Linked DNA regions of Drosophila melanogaster. The protein of the gene in region 1 interacts with the protein of each later gene in a pairwise test. Each region holds a gene or a part of one and is shown in the gene's direction. Other genes may lie near its edges. The genes, in order: CG4586, CG4887, CG13083 and Stam.

Evidence for each region.
Region 2: the proteins of CG4586 (region 1) and CG4887 interact in a two-hybrid assay, tested with the Drosophila melanogaster proteins (one large-scale study listed by BioGRID).
Region 3: the proteins of CG4586 (region 1) and CG13083 interact in a two-hybrid assay, tested with the Drosophila melanogaster proteins (one large-scale study listed by BioGRID).
Region 4: the proteins of CG4586 (region 1) and Stam interact in a two-hybrid assay, tested with the Drosophila melanogaster proteins (one large-scale study listed by BioGRID).

What each region holds. Positions count from the first base shown.
Region 1 is NC_004354.4:6,968,312-6,972,791, forward strand, and holds CG4586 (uncharacterized protein), read left to right. Parts: upstream 1-1,606; 5' UTR 1,607-1,706; coding exon 1,707-2,665; intron 2,666-2,773; coding exon 2,774-3,848; 3' UTR 3,849-3,954; downstream 3,955-4,480. Other genes in the region: Setd3 (SET domain containing 3), read right to left, coding at 1-281; CG3040 (uncharacterized protein), read right to left, coding at 4,148-4,480.
Region 2 is NT_033779.5:1,171,339-1,178,131, forward strand, and holds CG4887 (uncharacterized protein), read left to right. Parts: upstream 1-1,670; 5' UTR 1,671-1,862; coding exon 1,863-1,981; intron 1,982-2,041; coding exon 2,042-2,491; intron 2,492-2,545; coding exon 2,546-2,792; intron 2,793-2,858; coding exon 2,859-2,928; intron 2,929-3,158; coding exon 3,159-3,232; intron 3,233-3,571; coding exon 3,572-3,649; intron 3,650-3,708; coding exon 3,709-3,835; intron 3,836-3,948; coding exon 3,949-4,185; intron 4,186-4,240; coding exon 4,241-4,705; intron 4,706-4,762; coding exon 4,763-5,543; intron 5,544-5,603; coding exon 5,604-5,853; intron 5,854-5,917; coding exon 5,918-6,034; 3' UTR 6,035-6,251; downstream 6,252-6,793. Other genes in the region: charon, read right to left, coding at 1-305, 376-575, 685-1,281; CG4896 (uncharacterized protein), read left to right, coding at 6,612-6,706, 6,770-6,793.
Region 3 is NT_033779.5:19,485,681-19,489,210, forward strand, and holds CG13083 (uncharacterized protein), read left to right. Parts: upstream 1-1,809; 5' UTR 1,810-1,843; coding exon 1,844-2,697; intron 2,698-2,754; coding exon 2,755-2,851; 3' UTR 2,852-3,011; downstream 3,012-3,530. Other genes in the region: CG13084 (uncharacterized protein), read left to right, coding at 1-217, 277-716; CG10194 (uncharacterized protein), read right to left, coding at 3,128-3,530.
Region 4 is NT_033779.5:10,856,591-10,862,556, forward strand, and holds Stam (signal transducing adaptor molecule), read left to right. Parts: upstream 1-1,945; 5' UTR 1,946-2,244; coding exon 2,245-2,287; intron 2,288-2,779; coding exon 2,780-3,057; intron 3,058-3,116; coding exon 3,117-4,320; intron 4,321-4,386; coding exon 4,387-4,931; 3' UTR 4,932-5,416; downstream 5,417-5,966. Other genes in the region: aurB (aurora B), read right to left, coding at 283-420, 481-1,198, 1,254-1,387.

The sequences.
Region 1 (4,480 bases):
TCCAGGATCATGATTTGTTTGAGCAGCTCCTGTAGCTGCCCGTACTGCTTCCATTCCTCGTTGGGATTCGCCGGTTGCTTTTCCACCAAGTCAAGCAGTTCCTCGACGAGCTTGTTTAGTTGGCTCCTCTTTTTGCCGTTTAAACTGGGCAACGAACTGGCCGCCTGCTGGTCCTCAAAATCCTCGACTGCTGTGCCGGATGCGGATGCAGTTACTCCGTTTTGTTGTGGCTGCTGTTGCTGCTGTTTTGTCTTCTTGTTGCGCTTCGTGTTCTTACCCATGGCGGTGCCGTTGGTGGGAGCGAGAGAGAAAGACAGAGAGAGAGGAAGACAGAAAGCTAAGCGGTACCGGCGGCCCAAAACAACAACAGCCAAATAAGGAAAATAAAGTCGAGAAATCTGCACGCGGGCGATCAGCTGGCCGGCAGTGTGGCCATTCGTCGGGCGCCACTAAATTACTCCGACAATTGGTCACACATTCGACGAGCTTTTATGCTGAAAACTTTTTAATAGGGGTACTCCTAAGCTTTTTTTTATTACAAAACTTATGTTTTCTTGTAAAATAAATTGTAATTCACGTTGCATTTTTGGCACATCAATAATATTATAATAATTACTCTTTATAGTTATTAAAATGGCCAGTGTTTTTTTATATTTTATGTTGCATTCTTGAAGAGCGGGAAATTTAAATTGAGAATTTGTCCTAAAATCCAGGTTGCAGAAGCTCGTATGTATAATAATATATTTATTTATTTATATAAATAAAATCGCTCTTTCCATGTCTTTTAGTTTCTATTTATAAACAATTTGACAATGGCCCATAGGGTTATCTTAGATTTTCTAAACGTCATCCAATTGAGAAACGTTATGTTGATAACAAGAAATCCACGAAATAAAAATGTTATTGTACGAAAAAGAAATAATTGTTTGTTGAGCTTTGTGGGTTTTTGCAAAACAAAAACAACAAGAAATATTTACGATTTTCTTATCTACGGTAAAAAAAACTTGAACTAAAAAACTAGGAGATAATGCCGCTCATCAGATGTTTACGCACTTTGTGCCATTTTTGGCTAGGGTGGACCAACACACAAATCAGCGTTTGAGTTAATAGTAAGAAACAAATTCCGTCCAAATATACAACCTAGGATACGAAATCTAAAACATGATAAGTGCATCTTGTAAGAAAGACGCAGTTTGAGAAACTTTCGACAAATACGGAATATGGTCCACCCTAAGGCGCTCAAGCAATTTGAGAGTGGCTCAGTTCTCAGTTCAGTGACTCCAATGCAGCAACAACGGCGGTTGGAGCACCAGCGGGCAGAGCGCGAAAGAGAGGCAGTGGTGGGGCTCCAAAGGCGTAGGCAGGATGGACCATCCAAAGGGGTTCCAGATCGCCTCTTCTGTATAAGTTATCCATAAATAGCTTATACACTGCATCCTTTATGAGTATAATGTGGTAAATGTATAAAGAATCCCGGTATATTAATTGGCAACTCATCTTTAATTTCGGATCACTGATAACCAACCATATTCCCCTGCTATCCCCGCCTTTGGTGACCTGGCTGCCATGTTTCGAGCTGCAGAACTGTTTCTTCCAGCCACCAACTTCTCAGTGCAATCGAGTCGTTCGAGCAGAGAAGTTGGGAAATCCCGTAGAAAAGTAAAACTCTAGGAAAAGAGAGATCGGGAAGGAGAGATAGAGCGATCATGTCTGTGAATGCGGATCTGCAGAGAGAGCGGGCGGCGGCCACCTTGGACAGCGAGGACTTTGCCCGCTGGTGGGCGGGTGGCTCTGGGCAGCTGGAGGAGCGCCGCGCCCTGGAAAGGCGTTTCTATGAGGATCCCGACTTCGCGGAGCCAGTGCATCCGAGCTGTCTGTCATACAAGGAGCGCTACGAACAGACCGTGGCCCGATCCACACGCTTCCTGGCCAAACTGCGCCAATGGCAGCGGGAGAAGCAGCCACAACTTCAGCTTAGTGTGAATATGCTGAGGGACTTTCGGCTGCTACTCTCCGGATCCCTGGGCACGGGCCTCTTCCAGCAGAGCTTCCCCCTTCGGGTGCATTTCTCCATGTTCATGACCACCTTGCTGAGCCAGGGAACCGAGGAGCAGCAGGCCCAGTGGCTCAATCGATCCTGGCACATGGACGGCGTCCTGGGCACCTATGCGCAAACGGAGCTGGGTCACGGCACCTTTGTCCGGGGCCTGGAAACCCGAGCCGACTACGATCCCATCACGCAGGAATTCATCCTGAACACCCCAACGCAAAGTTCATACAAGTGGTGGCCCGGCGGACTTGGTAATACCGCCAATGTGGCCATTGTGCTGGCCCAGCTATATGTGAAGGGCAAGCATTATGGCTTGCAATCATTTGTGGTGAGGATCAGGGACGAGAGGACACACGAACCGTTGACTGGAGTCGATGTGGGCGATATAGGACCTCGCCTGGGTGGCAATGGCGTTAACAACGGCTTTCTGGGACTCCGCGACGTGCGGATACCGCGCAATCAAATGCTGATGAAGAACGCCCAAGTCCTGACCGACGGCACCTTCGTCCAGGGTAGACCTCCGCTGCTGCTCTACGGCACAATGGTCTATGTGCGGGTAATTACCGTGAAGGATGTGCTCTTTGGACTGCTCCAGGCTGCCACCATTGCCACCAGGTGATTATATAGTTTCTGGGGATTATGTTTATCATAGCTGTTATTAAGCCCATAAAACACATTCAGCTCACCCAGGGTTCTTTAGATAATAATTATCATTATCTTTAGGTATTCCGTGGTGCGTCGCCAGAGCCGGATTAACAGCGATCAGCCGGAGGTCTCTGTTTTGGATCACATCACACAGCAGGCAAAGATTCTACCGCAAATTGCTCGAGGAGTGTCCTATCGCCTGGTATCCGATTGGCTGTGGCGCTTCTACGAGGACGTACTCCGCCAACTGGAGGATGAAAGCACGAAAGGACGCAACTCCCTGCCGGAGCTGCACGCCCTGAGCTGCTGCCTCAAGGCGGTGGCCACCGACGAGGCCAGCGAGGGAGTTGATCTGCTGCGCAAGAGTTGCGGTGGCCACGGATTCCTTTCCTCGGCGAATTTCGATAGCATCTATGGTCTGACCGCCGCCACATACACCTACGAGGGAGAGTACACAGTACTCCTGCTCCAGACAGCTCGTTTCCTCGTCCGGCAGTATGCGGATAGCTTAAAACGCAAGGTGCTGCCCTCCAGTGTCTCCTATTTGAGGGATACAGCCCGTTTGATTTGGGGCAAGAATCTGGTTGCGAATTGTGTGCGAGCGCTGGAGATTTCAGCCATGGAGCAGGTGCGTGATGCTTGGCAGACCCAGAAGATGCACCAATCCGGCAAGGTGAGTCCCGAGATGGCCAGCAATCTGGCTGGAAGGCAGCTCACCTCGGCTGCCATAGCCCATGCTCACGCATTCTTCACACGCAATGCACTGGAGCAAGTGGAAGCACTTCGAAAGAAGGGCGATCTTAGCCCGAATGTCTCACTCATCTTGGGCCAACTGGTTGAGCTTTTCGTCATCGATACATTCCTGCGACAGTCGGGATGCGTGCTGCGTTGGAACAACGGCATCACTGGCACCCAACTGCGCTTCGTGGAGCGTCGCTTTGAGGAGCTGCTGGCCAAGCTGCGACCCAATGCGGTGGCTCTGGTGGATGGATTCGATTTTCACGATCGTGTCCTGGGCTCCACGCTGGGGTGTCACGATGGCCGGGTGTACGAGCGTCTCATGGAGGAGGCACGCCGAAATCCGATCAACCAGGAGCCGGTCAACTCGTCCTTCCACAACCACTTGTTGCCCATGATGCGGGGAAAGCTGTGATGTGGGGCTGGTCTTTTGTTTTCTACATACGTATATGTTATTCACTAATTTTTGTATTGAAGTTGAATCATAACATTTTTTTTTAATAAAGGAAATAGGATTTCGCAATTGTTTGTTATTTTGCACTTACCATTTTCAAACTAACTTACTTGCTCGCCCTTGTTAAAGTTGTCTTTTTCCGATTTATTCGTATCGTTTTACACATTACACATATTGAATTAAGCTATTAAATTAGTTTACTCGGATAAATAAAGGCTGGGGTACACACAAAAAAAAAAGGGATTTGATCTGAATCGAGTCTAGAACATCTTCTTCCTGACCGCCGTATACCGCTCCATGTAGACATCGTAGCCATCGAGATCGGTGAACTGTTTCGAGTTGAACAGATTGCCGTCGACGGCCAGGTTGCAGATTTTCGAGTCCTTGAGGATCTTGGGTGTAAAGGCCGCTGCCTGAAGGCAGTTCTCCTCGAGCCGCAGTGTCTTCAGCTTGGGACAATCGGCTACTTCCTCCGCCAGCGAGGATATTTGGTTCTGGTTAAGGTTCAGTTCGGTCACAAACAGTCCGCCCACATCGGCGGGCACATCGGTGATCTTGTTCCTGGACAGGTCCAGGACATCCAGCTGCTTCAG
Region 2 (6,793 bases), on another chromosome or scaffold:
TTAGCAGAAGACTGTTCAAATCGATTCTGCGCAACAGCAGCCTAATGGACTCTATATTTATATGGTTTATCACCGCCAGATGAAGAGCTGTGTTTGAGTTCTCGTAGAGGTGGTCGGTCATCATGCGAGCGTCCAGGATGAGCGATACAATCTCGGTGTCCGTGTCGTTCGTCAGCGCAAGTTCCAGGCAGTCCTCGCCGTCCCTGGTGAGTAGTTCGTTGATGTCCATTTTCGCGTGGCAGCACACAAATATCTGACGCTTAACGCCGTAAACATCGCCGTGCAGTATTTCCTCGTGAATGGGTCTGAAGTGCCATGTGAAAAGATGATATCATTACGATGATGATGGTCTTATTCGGCTAAATGAATACTTACAGCAATCCTTCTTCGGACATTATGTGCGACTTTCTGAATTCGTTGGCCATGATGCGTATAATGCGGTCCTCGGTGTTTCCGCTTATAAAGTTTTCCACCCGGGTCAACTCATCGGAGTTGAACGATATATCCGACAAGGTAGAGTTTCGGCGTACAGGGGTTTTATTCGTGATCTGATATGATTCGAAGTTTTGCGCTTGCTGTAAGAAAGATATTTATAATAAAATCGTATATATATTTCCATTCGAGATTTATGAACTTAGTACTTTCCAGGAGGAACTACTACATCATAATAATACTTGTACTTACGGTGACATCCCTTTTCTTCCGTTTAGTGATCACGGGCGTCAGTTGCTTCTCCTCGCGCTCCTTAAGCGCCATCTCAGCCGCTGATCGCTTGACCACCTGTGGCACGCAGGTGTTTCGCTTTCTACCGCGCTTTTTAGGAACTTTGGTCGGATCTACTGGCGGTTTTATAGGTTCGGAACTTGAACTGGTCATGTGGCTATGCCTATTCCCTTTGGCTTCGCATGAATTATTTGTAATGCCAGGCATATGCGTTTCCTCGGTGTCCCAATCCGTTTGTGTAGATGAATCGACTTTTTGGACTCCGCACGAACATTGTTTACCGTGATTGGAGATAGCGACCTTATCGTTATTATTGCTCTCGTTTATCGCGTCGATCACCCTTTGGGTAAGGGCTTTGTCTGGGATTTTCATGAGTAATTTGAAGATGTCCTCGTAGACGGGCTGGAAGGACTTGCGCTGGATGTAGGTAGAGGCACTATGTGGCGCTGAGATGGATATCACTCGCAGGGAACCGACTGGTTTGATCACCAAAACATCCGAACTACTAGCGACGACTGGTTGGATGTGCTGGGCTTTGGTCAATAGAACCTTCTTCATCGTGGCCGTTTTACAATGCACTGCTCGATCTCGCAATATCTACCAGCGATAAGGCCGTCAGCTAGTGATTGAATTCGTGGGACTTCCAAGTTTAGGACGATCAAAAAAAAACTAATTGGTTTTTCCCCACGACACGCTGCACGGAATGGCAAGTAGCGGCACTCGGACGCTGCTCAACACTGCTCCTAAGGATGGTTGGTGAGCAGTCAGACAAGAGCACTGTTATTGCTGATAGCTAATGTAATGTTTGTTTTTTAAGAAAAGAGTAGTTTTCGTTAAAAAAAACTTTATAATTATGTTATGGTCTAGAACCTAGAGTTTTTAATGCTTAAAAATATATAGCCATCTTTCGTTGCAAAATACATAAATATAAAAGGGCCATCTCTAGCTTTAGAGAATTATCGGCGTTTCGCTGCGAATGGCACATCGAGTATTCTTGAGAAAAAAGATACGGTGGTCCTCCATAAGGAACCGGGATAAAAATATTAAGGCTAAGTTACCAAACAGATCGTGAAGGATTCCGCATCGAAGCTCTATTGCCACTGGTGCCTGCCCAGCGTCTATGCCAAAGCAAGTCGGCAATGGACTCGAGTAGTCGGCGCAGTTTTTCTGGTGGAAGTGAAAACGAGGGTGGACGGGGCAGCGACTACTATAGATCCAGGCCGGGGTCTCGATACAGTCGATCCAGGTCGCGTTCCCGGTAATTCTACCCTACCAGCGTAATGCGATCGTGTTTATTAGTACTGTGTACCCTTTTCAGTGAGCGCAACCGCAGCCATGGAGGAATCAGGCACCGGAACTCTCGCTCTCGAAGTCGGGATCGGGATCGGTCGCCCGTGTTCAGAAACGATCAGCATCGCGGTGGTCGAGGAGGAGCTGGTAACGGGGACCCCGACCTTTACCACAGCCTGATCAACGACGACTACAGGGATCAGGATGAGCGCAACTACAACTCCAGGAGCAACTTTGAGAATCGTCAGTTCCGGCGACATGATAGCTTCGACCGTCGGCATCGGGACCGAGATGGCGAGAGCGATCGGGAGCTAAACGACTACGAGTACGAACAGCGCTCCCGCGACTTGGACTCACGTGATCGTAGCTCCACGGACAGGGACTGGTATCACAACAGAAGTCGGAGCAGGGAACACAGCAGACCCTGGAACAGAAACAACAATCACGACGACAGAAGCAGAAGCAACGAGCGAAACACGTGAGTATAAAGTATACATACACTTCAGGCTAAATAATAAATCGGACCGTGCAGGCGCCACCGAGATCACCGCATGTACAACGGCGGTGGCAGCAACCATAATCGCGATCGAGATCGAGATCGGGATAGGGAGCAAGACCGTGAACGTGATCGAGATCGAGATCGGGATCGTGAGAGAAGGGGCTCCTCAGATTACGACAGCGATGAAGGCCACATGCGCAGGAACAAATACCGATCCACCACTGAAGCCCTCAATATTATTATAATCTTCGGTCTTACCAAGGAAATGACCAGAGCAGATGTAAGCCAAGCAGAAGAGTGGCAAATGCAACTCCTTTAATTACTCATGAACTAACTTTTTTTTTAGATTATGAGCGAGCTGATAAAGGTGAACATGGAGCCAGCGTGCATTCGCATTATCCGGAAGCAGGGAACAGGTGGGTTACGAAATCACTGACTTTGTTCTTTCAGCGTCAGACGTAAGTAGGTCCAAAAAGTTGGAGCGGCTTCGCGCTAATGGAGGCGAAGTGTACAAGTACCAATCGAATTTAACCGGCCACATGAATCGAAAAGAATACAATAGTCCACAAAAATGTTACAAACCTATCGAAACATTCAACATTTTTTGACGAAAACATTTTGTATCTGCTTCTATCCGAAAATTTAGATTCATCACGCGGTATAGCGTTTGTCGAGTTTAACACCGTTGAGGAGGCAAAGCAATGGATGGATATTACACAGGTATCAGCGCAATCGACCAGATCCCCTTGAAACTTTGATCATCATCAGCAGCCAAGGTTGTTCGCAGGCAATGATAATAAGGAATTCCTCACTGTTTAGCTTGCTTTGTCCAACTAAAAGTACTTATATGTAGTTGCAAGGAAACTAAGCACGAGTATAGTATTGCTTCATTAGAATTGCCCAAGAAAGCCACTCGAGGAGATTGCCAGCGGCTAAAACTTCGCGTTACGAAACACAGATGCAATCCGGTGACTGTGTAGAGTGTGAATGAAGGCATCCTAGCGATCGGTTACTAATCCGCAACCTTTCCTTCTCCTATTTCCATGTCTGGCGCACCAGGGCGTTCTGAAGTTAAACGACGAGCGGGTGAGCATGCGGTACAGCCACAAGCGAATTCAGGACTGGAACTGCAACAAGGTAGGTGCACTGAGATGATCATATTCTTAATGGCGAGTAATGTGTTTCGCTTGTTCCAGTGTGGCGTCTGCAACTTCAAGTTTAGATTCTATTGCTTTGTGTGCAAAACATCCCGGGAAGACAGCGAAACCACCTTCTCCTCCGGTAGCGAGGGCGTGGACGAAGTCAGCACCATCCTCACCAAAAGTATACAAACCACATAGACTCTCTTGCCATCTCGTTTTGTAGCTTCGATCGCAATGAAGTCCAACAGACCACTGACCGCCACGATTTCTCTACCACTTCCCCAATCCACGCAGAGATCATGCTACGCAACCTGGACGCCCTGACCAACGAAGAGGCTGTGCTCACTGCCCTCCAACTTCACCTAAAGGATCTGAGCAAGACCGTGAGCAAGGTGCTAATTAGTCGGGATTCCTTGACGCAGGCATCGCGTGGAATTTGTTACCTTCACTTCGACACTCTTGTCGACTCGATGAATGTGCACAATGCCTTGACAGCGCTGGATCCTCCACTTACCTTGGACGACAGAGTTGGTATGTGGCCTTAGGTGCTTTTTATAACTTAAATAATAACCAATATTTCATCCAGTGGCCATTACCTATTGCATCGACTTGGAGGAGCAGCAAGCATTGCCCAAGAACCCTAAAGAATTGGCAGTTAAAGATTCAACTGTCAATAGCGGGAACATTTCAGCAGTTTCGCCCTCAGGATTGGGTGGAAACTATACTCTGGCCGATGTGCCACGACTCGCTGAATATAGTGCCTCCCTGTACGCTTCGAATCCCGCAGAGCACGCTTATTATGTCCAGTACTATACGGAGTACTACACGGCAGATATAAACAAAAATAACAGGGATTCCCATTTGACGGAAGCCAATTCCGGAGCAGCGGTTGCCCTCTCGGCCATCCAGCGCAAGCAGAAGAAGATGAGCAGTATCGAGACCACGATCACAGCGGCGGCCACAGCTGCCGCACAGGCAGCGGCGCAAGTGAAGGCCACATTGGCTGCTCAGGTGGCCAGTGCGCCCAAGGGCAACGATGGAAAGATATACCGTATGTCGCCACTCACTTGAGTATGCTAGCATTTTATTATGTTTCATTATGTTGCAGCCACTCCCGATGTGACGCAGTACCAGTATGATGAGACATCCGGCTACTATTACGACAGTACCACGGGTCTCTACTACAATGCCCACTCGCAGTACTACTATAACAACGAGACGGGCGCGTATCTTTACTGGGATCAGCGCAGGAGCACCTATGTGCTGGCCACGCCCGCCTCCACTCAGGCAGCTCTGCAGGAAGTCCTGGCCGACGCCGAGCAAAAGGGGGAGGAGGAGTCCAAAAAGGCGAAGGAGAAGGAGGGTGGAAACAAGCACGACAAGGTTAAGGTGGCGAAGAAGATCGTCAAGGACATGGAGAAGTGGGCCAAGCAGCTAAACCAGAAAAAGGACTACACAGCTGTGGCCACGCCACAACCAATATTGGCGAACGAGGTAGCCACCACTTCGCGTGGCAATCAAGGGGGATATGCTGATGTGGGATTCTCCATTCTCGAGAAGAAGGAGAGGGGCAAGTTAAACGACTATGCGCCAAACCCGACTGTGGGTCCAATGAACAAGCTTGTCAATGCCTATGGCGGAACATCGGACTCTGAAGAGGACAATGCTGCGAGTTCGCAAAACACACAGAGTTCAGCGGTTGTAAGCGGCGGAGGAGGTGCTGAAGAGTCCGATTACGTGGACTTCCATAAACTGACATGCCTGCTCTGCAAGCGTGCCTTCCAATCGTTGGAAATACTCCAGAAGCACTTGAAGATGTCCACTCTGCACAAGGAGAACCTGGCCAAGCTCAATCAAAACACTAGCAGTAGCATCGAAGAGGCACTAGCGTAAGTGAAATCGCGATGTGTGGTGGAGTATATTATCATTGAATTCATATTCTTTCCCAGCTATCGTGATCGTGCCAAGGAGCGCAGGCTGAAGTACGGCGAGAGCGATCCTCCCCCACCAAATAGGAGCAGGGAGCGATTCGAGCAGGAGATCAAGACACTGCAGTCGCGGCAAAAGCAGTCTACTAGCGCTACTCCAGCCATGCCCATCAGTTCGAGCAACGTGGGCAGTCGACTGCTCCAAAAGATGGGTTGGTCGGAGGGACAGGGACTGGGCAGGAAGAACCAGGGACGCACCCAGATCATAGAGGTAACTGAGCTGACGGCAAGCTATAAAATGAATTAAGAAAATTAAGCATTTTGGGTTCCCTCAGGCGGACGGACGCTCCAATTACGTGGGCTTGGGCAACAAATCGGGACAGATGATACCGGGCAACGACTACAAATCCTATATAAAGAAGATGATGAAGCAGCGCTACGAGAATGCTTGAGAAATTGGTTTTTAGCCGTTTCACATGTTTCATTTCAACTAAAGTCGCCGTTTAATTCAGCTTTTCAACCGAAGCAAAAATTATTTCCATATTATATATGAAGCTTCTTGAGCATTGTTTTCCTAACAGATTGGCGTTTTTTTAAGTCCACGAGCAAGTGTGACCGTTTAGTTAATAGTTTCTGATTAAGCGAATTTAAATCCTTTTTCGAATGTACAAAATAAAATGTAACGGTGTAAAGTTTAAATTTGCTTGGTGTTGGGAAACAACTGTTAGCTGGCACTTGGTAGCCCTGGAGCTATCGGTCAGTTATCGATAACTGGCAGTCAGATACTTCGGGTGAACGGCAAAAAAGAAGACCGAGAATTTTTCTATTCGGGTTTTTTTTTTTGGCCGGATAACTGATTGTTTCTGCCTGAATGCAAAGAGACTTCCAGTTCGGGAACAAGTTTAACCAGCTTCCAATCCTGTTACAGTCGTGGTAACCAAGTAAGATGTGCGCACATAGACGGTTCATCTAATGGCAAAAGGCCAAATCACAAACACTGCATTTAATTACAATCGATTCGCATTAGATATGGATTCTCGATATGGTCACAGCTTCTCGGGCGGCAACGGAAACGGCAGCGAATCGGGCTACAGACGCTACAGTCGCTCCCGATCCCGATCCAGGTAGGTAGTCCTTTGTCCACCTGGAGCCTCTTAGTGGATTACTACCAATTGCGATTATTTCAGGGAACGAAGTCGGGACCGCAATGA
Region 3 (3,530 bases), on another chromosome or scaffold:
GAGGCTGTTCTCCGCGAACTGATCATCTCGCAGAAACGCATCGAACTGGGTCTGGAAGAGTGCAGCCGACAACAGCCCTATCCGCAATATGGCCATCACGACGAGTCCTATCTTCCCACCTACGGAGCTGAGGTCCCAGAGCCGCAGCATGCTCATCCTAAGCCCAAGCAAGTGGATCTGGAACAGGTGTGGAGCATCAAGGAGGAGCCCAAGCACGGTAAGTGGTCCTTATTGCCACCAGATTAGGATCACAAATTAATGGCTTGTCGTTCATAGGAGAGCACTCTGGAAACCACAAAGCTACCGCCTATGCCCAGTCCCCCGAGCCAAAGAAGAACTATCAGAGCTCCAGCGCCGTGTCCTGGCGGCAGACGGTGCCGTGGGAGTACGGATCCCCATACCAGTCCGCTCCAGTTCACCACCATCAGCCATGGAACCCAGCTCCGGCCCACGTTCCCACCTCCGTTACCAAGCCCAAGCCGTGCCCCAAGAAAGAGCACCCTACTCCGGCATCCTATGTTCCTTTGCCACATGACCAGCCTGAATCCTACAAGCTTCCTGTGGATTACAGTCCCAAACCTAACCACGAGCAACCTCATAAGCCCCACCACGAGCCACAGTCTTACAATGAGGAGATCTACAAGCCACAGCCCATCCAGCCAGGAGAATCCTTCAGGATTTGGTATGGAGACAGTTCCCTCCCCCAAGGATACTAAAGGAAGATTTAACTGGGACTACCACTGTTACTGAAACTGATACAACTTTTCAAAGCATTTAACAAACTCTTTTTTTTTAATTCAGATTCATTACTTTGTACAATTTTTATGTTTTATAAATAAATAAAAAAAAAGCAAAGGAAATACATTTTTGATTATATTCCTAGCAAGTAATTAATAAATAACTTTTGAGAAAAAATGCTATAGTTTCATGGAAATCATATGCATCAACTTTTAGCATCGTATGCGAAAATATACATTCAATTTCCAAAAACTTTTCTCAAAATCTATTCAAAATATACGAAGAAATTTTTGTTATTTTGTATGTTTTGTAGGTAAATAAATTCACCTTACTATTAACCTATGCTATTGTTTGTTGATAGAAGCAAATTTTAAAAATATTTTAAGCTTTTTTAAAAGTTAATAGTAAAGGATCCAAGTTTGTTTAAATTTGCAAAAGGCATCTTGGCCAATTTTTGAATAGGCATGATAATATGAAGGATAATTAATTATACTGCTGTTTTCGAAATAGGAAACAAAATATAGACTTATTAAACTTTTACAAAATTACTTTAGTTCGCTTTATTACTTTATTTCTTGTAAACGATAGACAGTATGCCCGAAAACATTTGTTACGTTATCATTACCTTCGAAGACCTATTTTCTGAATGAATTTGAACAAGAAGCAGCTGGGGCACGTTTTTCAGTGGTGTTATTACTACCGTAGCACACAAAAAACCGGGTCAATCTGTTCTGTTTAGAAACAAAGAAGAATTTTGAAACGTGACACTACACGGATTTTCCCTAACTTTACCAAGATGTCGATGAACCAATAACTATTTAGTACGACTACATGCAACATAATTCGCTTTAGTTCTTTCTTTTTACAAGATGATAAAACAGTTGTTCGCGACTATCTTCTTAGTAGTAGGGAAATTCTCGTAAACACACTATTACAGATTGGAGCAGCATTTGCACCTGCACCCGCTGAAGAGAAGTGGGTGGTGACCGAACTGATAGAACTTAACCCAGTCTAAGACACGTTTTGGACCTTAAGTTGGGCTACTTAAGTTGCGGTTCGGATCGAAAAGAGACACTCAGCGGGGAGCGGCCATCAGAGAAACACCATGAGAGTGCGACTGACTTTGCTAACGATATGCATTTACCTATGCGCGGCTGCAGCTGAGGATCTGGACTCCATCCATGAGATCCGCAGTGAGGTGGAGGAGCTGATCAAAGGTACGGAGGAGCTAAACCATGGGCTGCAGAAAGTGAAGGACGTGCAGAAGGGCATTGAAGAGAAGTTCAAGCATCAGCGCGACGAGATCGAACTCATTGCTGGATTGGAGGTTGCCATAGCCAAGCTGGAATCGAACGTTCAAAGCAGCTTCCAAGCCACGGCCTCTGGAGTGGGAAATTTGACAGCCATTGTTAACGCAATCCAGGGTCAGAATGAAAACTCTATTAGGAATCTTACCAAAGTGGAGCTAGAAATCAGGAAAGCCCTGGAACAAGTGGCTGCCAATCAGAACAAATACGAGCAGAACCTAAATGAAGTGGCCTCATCCGTCAACTCGCATCTGTCGGAGATTCAGCAGCTGCTATCACAGGCCGTCATAGGGGAACTCATCGGCTTGGACAATAAAGCGAAGGTCCTCCAGGAGCAGCAGCGCAACATCGTGGGTCAAGTGGGATATCTGGGCGAACTTAAGGCTCTGGCAGATCGTGCCAATCGCAAAGTCAATCAATTGGAGTGGGGTCTGGTCATTCTCAACCGCACTCAGTCCGAGAGCCTCAACAGCATCGAGCACACTGTCCATGGAGTGCAGGTGGCCACCTCACAGGTCGATCATAAACTGGCTGCCCTACTGAACAATCAGAAGAACATTGAAAGGACGCTGGATGGCTGCAAGCACAAAAATCCGTCACACCAGAAGCCCCACGAGATCTGGACTCACCCGGAACACGCACCAATTTACAAGTAAGTTTGTATGCCCTACTTCTGGGTGCACACTAAAACCACTCTTTTCATTTTAAGGCCAAAACCAGAGGGCAATCAAGGATACGAGAACGTCTATGCATCCCAAGAAGAGGCTGAATACCTATACAAACTTTGGTATGGAAAGGGCCAGTAGCATTAATACGAAAACTGAAGATAGATGTTTTATGCCATATTCAGAAATTGCTTGATTTCCTATATCAAATCCCAGCATGTCGATTCTATCTATCTTATATAATTGTATATTAAACCGTTCTGTAACACAATGTAATAAACAAGAGTAAATGGAGGAAATCGAACTTTATAAGTTGTATATTGCTAAAAAGTGTTATGTCCAACTTTATATATCAATTGTTGGAAAACTTATAAAACTAGATAAATGCACCTGACATAGAGGAAACCGGCTCTACCTCTATAATTTTGTTGGATCCAATGGATGAACCTGACCATCATCCCGCTCAAACTTAATTATCAGCTGCGACTGATGCTGGTTCCAGTGCTCCGATCGATGTAATTTAGCATTCGTCTTCGAACGGAATTCCTCGACTGACAAATCGATCTCAATTTTTTCGTTACTTGCATCCGGATCGGCGGGGTAAGCATCATCTCCTGGCAAGAGATGCACTAATCCATTTGTACACTTGTGCACTACAGGATGAATCAGCTGAATGCCTTTGACCTCACGCTCTGCTGCAAACTGACGCAGGTTATCTAAAGAGGAGAAGTTTAGGCAGCGCGAAAGTTCATAGAATTGTGGAGGCGGCAGCCAGAGTTCTTTTCTTAGGCTCGCTTGAAGGTAGTCCAATGGGGAACGC
Region 4 (5,966 bases), on another chromosome or scaffold:
TTGTCATTTATTTATTTAGGGTGACCGTTTGCGGGAAGCGCGAAAATATAGCATGGCCCACGAACTGGAACTAAGTAAGGCATGGGCTTAGAAAAATTAATTTAAAAGGGGTTAAATTAGAAAAAGGTAATTTAAGTAAGTTACTACCAATAGATTTTTATTTTTAAGCAGTTTTCAGATTTCAAAAATATACTCCAAACTTCATTAAATCTTATAAACCGTTTATTAAACATAAAAGTAAAATCTGAAATAAGTCGTTACACAATGCAAACTCGAAACCAGTCAATTTCTGGCCGTGTTCTCCTTGCCGCGCTCCCGTTTCTGCAGCTGCAGCTCCCTTTCGGCCATTCCCGCCTTCACCCAATAATGGGTCATCACATCCACCAAGGTGATGCGGCCCTTGCTTTCCTTGCGAAGCAGCTGCAAAGATGAAATCCCTGTTCAATAAATGGATCTCAAAGGAAACATCTTCCAACTCACCCCGCCAATCAATTCCTTGCAGCCCTTGGACAAATGCGATGGGTAGGAGATCTCCATGCGCCGGATCTTGCTGTAGGTGCTCTCCGTGCTGTTCGACTCGAAGGGCGGACAGCCGACGACGAACTCGTAGCACAGAATGCCCAGGCACCACTGGTCCACCGAGTCGTCGTAGGAGTTCCCATCCACCATCTCCGGCGGCAGATAGTCCAGGGTGCCGCACAGAGTCCTGCGCTTGTTGTTCGGCGTGTGCGCCGACCAACCAAAGTCGGCCAGCTTAAGGTCGTCCGTGCTGGTTAGCAGAATGTTCTCCGGCTTCAGATCCCGATGGATCACGTTGTTCAGGTGACAGTAGTTGAGGGCATTCGCCACTTGGTAGGTGTACTTCGCAGACCGCGGTTCATCGAATCGATGATTGGGTGCGCCACGCAGGTGCTTGAACAGCTCGCCCTCGGACGCAATTTCCAGGGCCAGATAGATGCGGCTCTCGTCGTGGAACCAAGTGAGCAGGCGCAGGATGTGCGGGTGCTTCAGTCGCGACTGGATCTCGATCTCGCGTAGAACCTGACGCTGCACGCAGCCCTTGCGCAGCTCCTCTTTGAACATCACCTTCATGGCCACCAGATAGTGCGAGTGGCGCTCCCGCGCCAAGTAGACACGTCCAAATTTGCCGCGTCCCAAGTGGGCGCCCATCTCAAAGTCCCGGGGACTCCAATCGTATCTGGAGGGAGCAGATTAAGTACGGATTGATACATTAGCTTATTGCTTGTACGTACGGCTGTCCGTATGCGTCGTGGGACATCATCTTGAGGCACATATTCTTGATCGGCTCCTGGTGCTCCTCGGGCACCTTGGCCAGCAGGTGCGGCAGGTGGTTGCGGTTGGCGTGCTTCGCGCGGGAAAGCGTCATGGCGCTGACTTGTTTATAATATTATGATTTTTAAGTAAATTAATTATTTTAAGTTGTATTTTCTATAAGCGTCCCTTTTGTTTGCGCGTTTTTTTCGAATGCTGAGATTAGTGTGACCGCATGCTAGAATCGAGTTATTCTGTGACTCTCAGTGAAGCAGTTAAGTCACTGTATTTTTAAATTCGGTCAACGTATAATAAAATATTTTCATGTTTCTTAAATAAAAATTAATCTTCTAGTTTTGTTCTTATATTGTGCATAGTTATTATAATATACGCTTCTCACCCGTAGGAGAATAGTTTGAGTGAAGGGCATAGAAAACTGTTTAATTATTATAAACCATAGCTACCAGTGCTCAAATCATATCAGATGTTTAATAGATTTATATTATTAGTTGTCTAAATTTATTTAAATATACAATATCAATAATATTTATATGTATATATAAATAAAAATGTTTTGCATAATATAAGTCTCGAATACCTCTAACTAACCATTGAAAATGAGCTGCAAAAAATCCTTTGGATTTCCCGACTATTCGCAATCTGGCCACACTCGCCATTAGTCATTTTTTACACAATAAACGTAAATTAAGCGAATTTGCAAGCGCTATTCGGAAGTTTTTAGGCTAATCGAAAAGATATAAGCAGCCCAAAAGAGATTTGGAAAAAAGCGAAAAGGTCTACGCAGGAGGAAGTACACCAAAAGCGTGCTTTCAGTCGCCGTGACGCACCGAAAATCGATTGGAGAGGAAAAACAATAGGGAAAACAGACAAAGATCAACTGATTTGGATTTATTGACCCCAGGGCAGCGCAGATTATTGGCAGATAGCCGAGCGAGCGGTTTGGTCATAAAGATGGGAATCTTTGGGCAGTCGTCGCCATTCGACGCCGACGTGGGTGAGTTACCACTTATCGTTAAGCTGTTGTGTTGGCCGATTGGACAAGCCGATGTTCCAATTGGACTGCACAACGGTCCAATATGCGTTTCATAGTTTTCTATTCTTATCTGGGGTCTAAAAACCCGCACACCACACCATTTTCCCCTGTTTTCCCTATGAACCCGATCCCCCGATTGAGCAGACAACAAAGAAAGTCATGTGAGATGCTGTGCGCAGCTCTGCGTCGTTCGTTGAACTTCTTATTGGAGTTGTTAGATGGCAGTCGCTGACCTTGAGTGACGTAGCACCCGCAGCCCCTCACACCCCCTCCGTTTACGCAGCCAACCCCCTCGCCATCCCTTAATGCAATTTAGTTAGTTTCCGATTGTATTGATTTTCTTTAGCTGCAATCAGTTTTCGAAGAAGCTTATCTTTGTTTTGCTGTGACTCAGAATATAAATTTCTATTTGACTGATAAGCTAATGCGGTTCATGCCTTTCTTGTTTTATAGAAAAGGCCACCAGCGAAACTAATACCAACGACAACTGGTCTCTGATTTTGGATGTATGCGACAAGGTAACGACCAATCCCCGCCTGGCCAAGGATTGCCTGAAGGCGGTGATGCGCCGCATGGGCCACACCGATCCTCATGTGGTGATGCAGGCGATTACGCTTTTGGACGCCCTGTCCAACAACTGCGGAAAACCGCTCCATTTGGAGGTGGCTTCACGGGATTTCGAGACGGAGTTCCGCCGCCTGTTGGCCAAAGCACAGCCAAAGGTTTCACTGGTGAGTACAAACAGTTTTAACTCACTTATTTCATTTCTAATTCCAATTATGATTCACAGAAAATGCGCCAAGTGCTGAAGAACTGGGCTGAAAACGACTATAAGAACGATCGAGAGCTCGACTTGATACCCGCACTCTATGCCAAGCTGCGCCAAGAGGGATATGATTTCAAGAATCTTGGCGATAAGACTAGCAAGACTGTTGCCGAAAAGGCCGCCGCCCTGCCCAAAGATCCGAATGTGGTCAGCAGCCAGCAGGAAGAGGATGACATCGCCAAGGCCATCGAATTGTCGCTGAAGGAGAACAAGGGCAGTCCAAAGACTGGGAGTGTAGCAAGTACCGGCACCGCCAGTGCCTATCCCTCATTGTATCCATCTTTCGCTGGAACCGGCTCGAGTGCACCGAGCGCCGAAGCCAGTTCCGCACCAGCGCCAGAGCCGAGAAAGGTTCGAGCTCTGTACGATTTCGAAGCTGCCGAGGAAAACGAATTGACCTTCTTTGCCGGCGAGATCATTCATGTGCTGGATGATAGTGATCCAAACTGGTGGAAGGGATACAATCAACGCGGCGAGGGTCTCTTCCCCTCGAACTTTGTCACTGCCGATCTGTCCGTCGATCCCGAGCGGCTGGACATCAATCAGCAGCATAAGTCGGCCGCCGCAGCCGGGCAACGAGAGTTGGATTCCGCTGCGGCACTGCAGCAAAAGACTGAAGCGGCAGCAGCTGCCGCCGCAGCTCAGCCTGTGGAGATCGACGAGTCAAAGATCGACCGGCTGCTGCATTTGCTGCACGAGGCGAATCCCGAAGATCCCTCGCAGGACAGCGACGAAATGCTGCAGCTGGAGCAGGAGGTCCATCAGATGGGACCGCTGATCGATGCCGAGCTGGAACGCGTCGACCGCAAGCACGCTCAACTGACGCAGTTGTCCAGCGACCTCGTCGACGCCATTAATCTGTACCATACCTTGATGCGGGATGACCGTGCTGCGGCTGGACATTTTGCCGCCGCTGCTGGCGGCTTTATGCCTGGACTTGCTGGTTTCCCGGGTGCCGCTCTGTACGGTGCTCCAGGTTATCCTGCAGCGGGTGGATTCCCACCGGCCCAAAATTATCCGGGCATGCACTCGATGCCATATGGCCCCGTACCAAATCCTCCCACTTCTGCTCCATCTCAGGCACCTGGAGCTCCTGGTGGCTATCTGGGTCAACCGCAGGGGCAGGTGCCACTGCCCTATCAGAACGGACATGCCGCACAGATGAACTGTTAGTACAAAGGATTAAAATACTTATTATATTTACCTATAATAACATTTTCAATCGTCTTTCCAGCGCTGCCAGCCCATTTGACTCAACCCACTGGCACTGCACCCATGCCCCAGCCAATCTACACTCAGCCGACTCCCGTGACCACCCAACAGCAGCAGCAGCCACTTCCACAGCACCCTCAACAGCCGCCACAGCAGCAAGGCCAGCAGCCCCCACAGCATCCCCAGAACAGCTACCACATCGACCCCCAGTCACAGTACGCCCAAGTTCCGCCCGCAGTCACACAAATCCAGCAGCCGCAGCAGCCACCGGCTCCGCACGCTTACATGTCGCCGCAGCATCAGCAGGCACCGCCACCACAGGGATACCAGCCAGGACCAAATCTTTATGGACCGAACGGATCGCCGGCCGTCGTCAACCCGCAGAGCTACATGTCCCCACAGCAGCAGCAGCAACAACACCCACCACCACACGATCAGTTTAGTCAGCTGCATCAGCAGATGGCCGCCATGTCCATGGCTGGCGGACCGCCAGTTGGGGCGCCCGGCTATCACATGCAGAACGATGCTGTCAAGAACAACATTCCTATCTACCAGCAGCAGCGGTAAGACCGCTGCACTAAAACAGAGACCTTCACTTGGTTCGCTTTGAATTGCCCGAGCAACTTTAAGCTTTGTCTTCATTCTGACAAAAGGATGTCATCGAGTATGTTAGTTTTGGCCAACTTGCCGAGAAACGGAAGTTGTCAAATCTCTGCTATGTACATTTTGAGAAGAGCAATTGTCAGTGAACCAAATATGTCGACTATCCTTTAAAATAACGAAAGAAGCCAAATTAATATCAAGTATACCCTTACGAGTTTTCGTTTTTTGTGTTTATATTTGGTCCAACGAAATGATATATTTTTCTGGAAGTAAGGCAATACCAGTCGAAAAAGATATATATACCATATAAATAATCTGTATTCAACAGCACGTATAACTTTGTATTTAGTGCAGGGGAGATAACTATTATGTATTATGTTTATTGTACGGATTATGATAAATCTAACGAAACGAATCACATTCATTAAAATCATAAAAATATACTAAGTAAACACAATGTCTTTGAAAATTGCAAGTCAAAAGCTTACGGCTACCCTTCTCAAATATTTTCAGCACTAGCAATCGATGTGGAATAATTTTCAAGAAAATTTTGGAAATCAGATGAAGTTTTTAGAAATTTTTTTAGTGATAAAGAAAGCAGATTATTTGTTTATTTCTCACTTGAATTGTTTGTTTATTTTTATGATATTTATTTAAATTTTCTTATCGATGCTATAAAACATGAAGGTAAAATTCTTTATGTAGGCTTCAGAAAGAGTAATCTGCATTGCTTTATAAACTGAAACAATTCAGCACGAGTTTTGGATTCGCACCCCTTTTAAACTTAACATGCTTAGAGCTCCATTCAACTGCGCTCATCCCCTTTTCGGAGAATACCTCCCTCCGCTCGTGTTAGTGCGCTTTTCCGATGAGATTCCAATATATTCAGACAAGCTTTGCCACATGCCACTGTCTCGCAATCCGGCAAACATGCAACAATTTAGCAAAATTCCATCCGGCATTCGGTGGCACAAATATCCTGTGAAATAAACTGTCAAA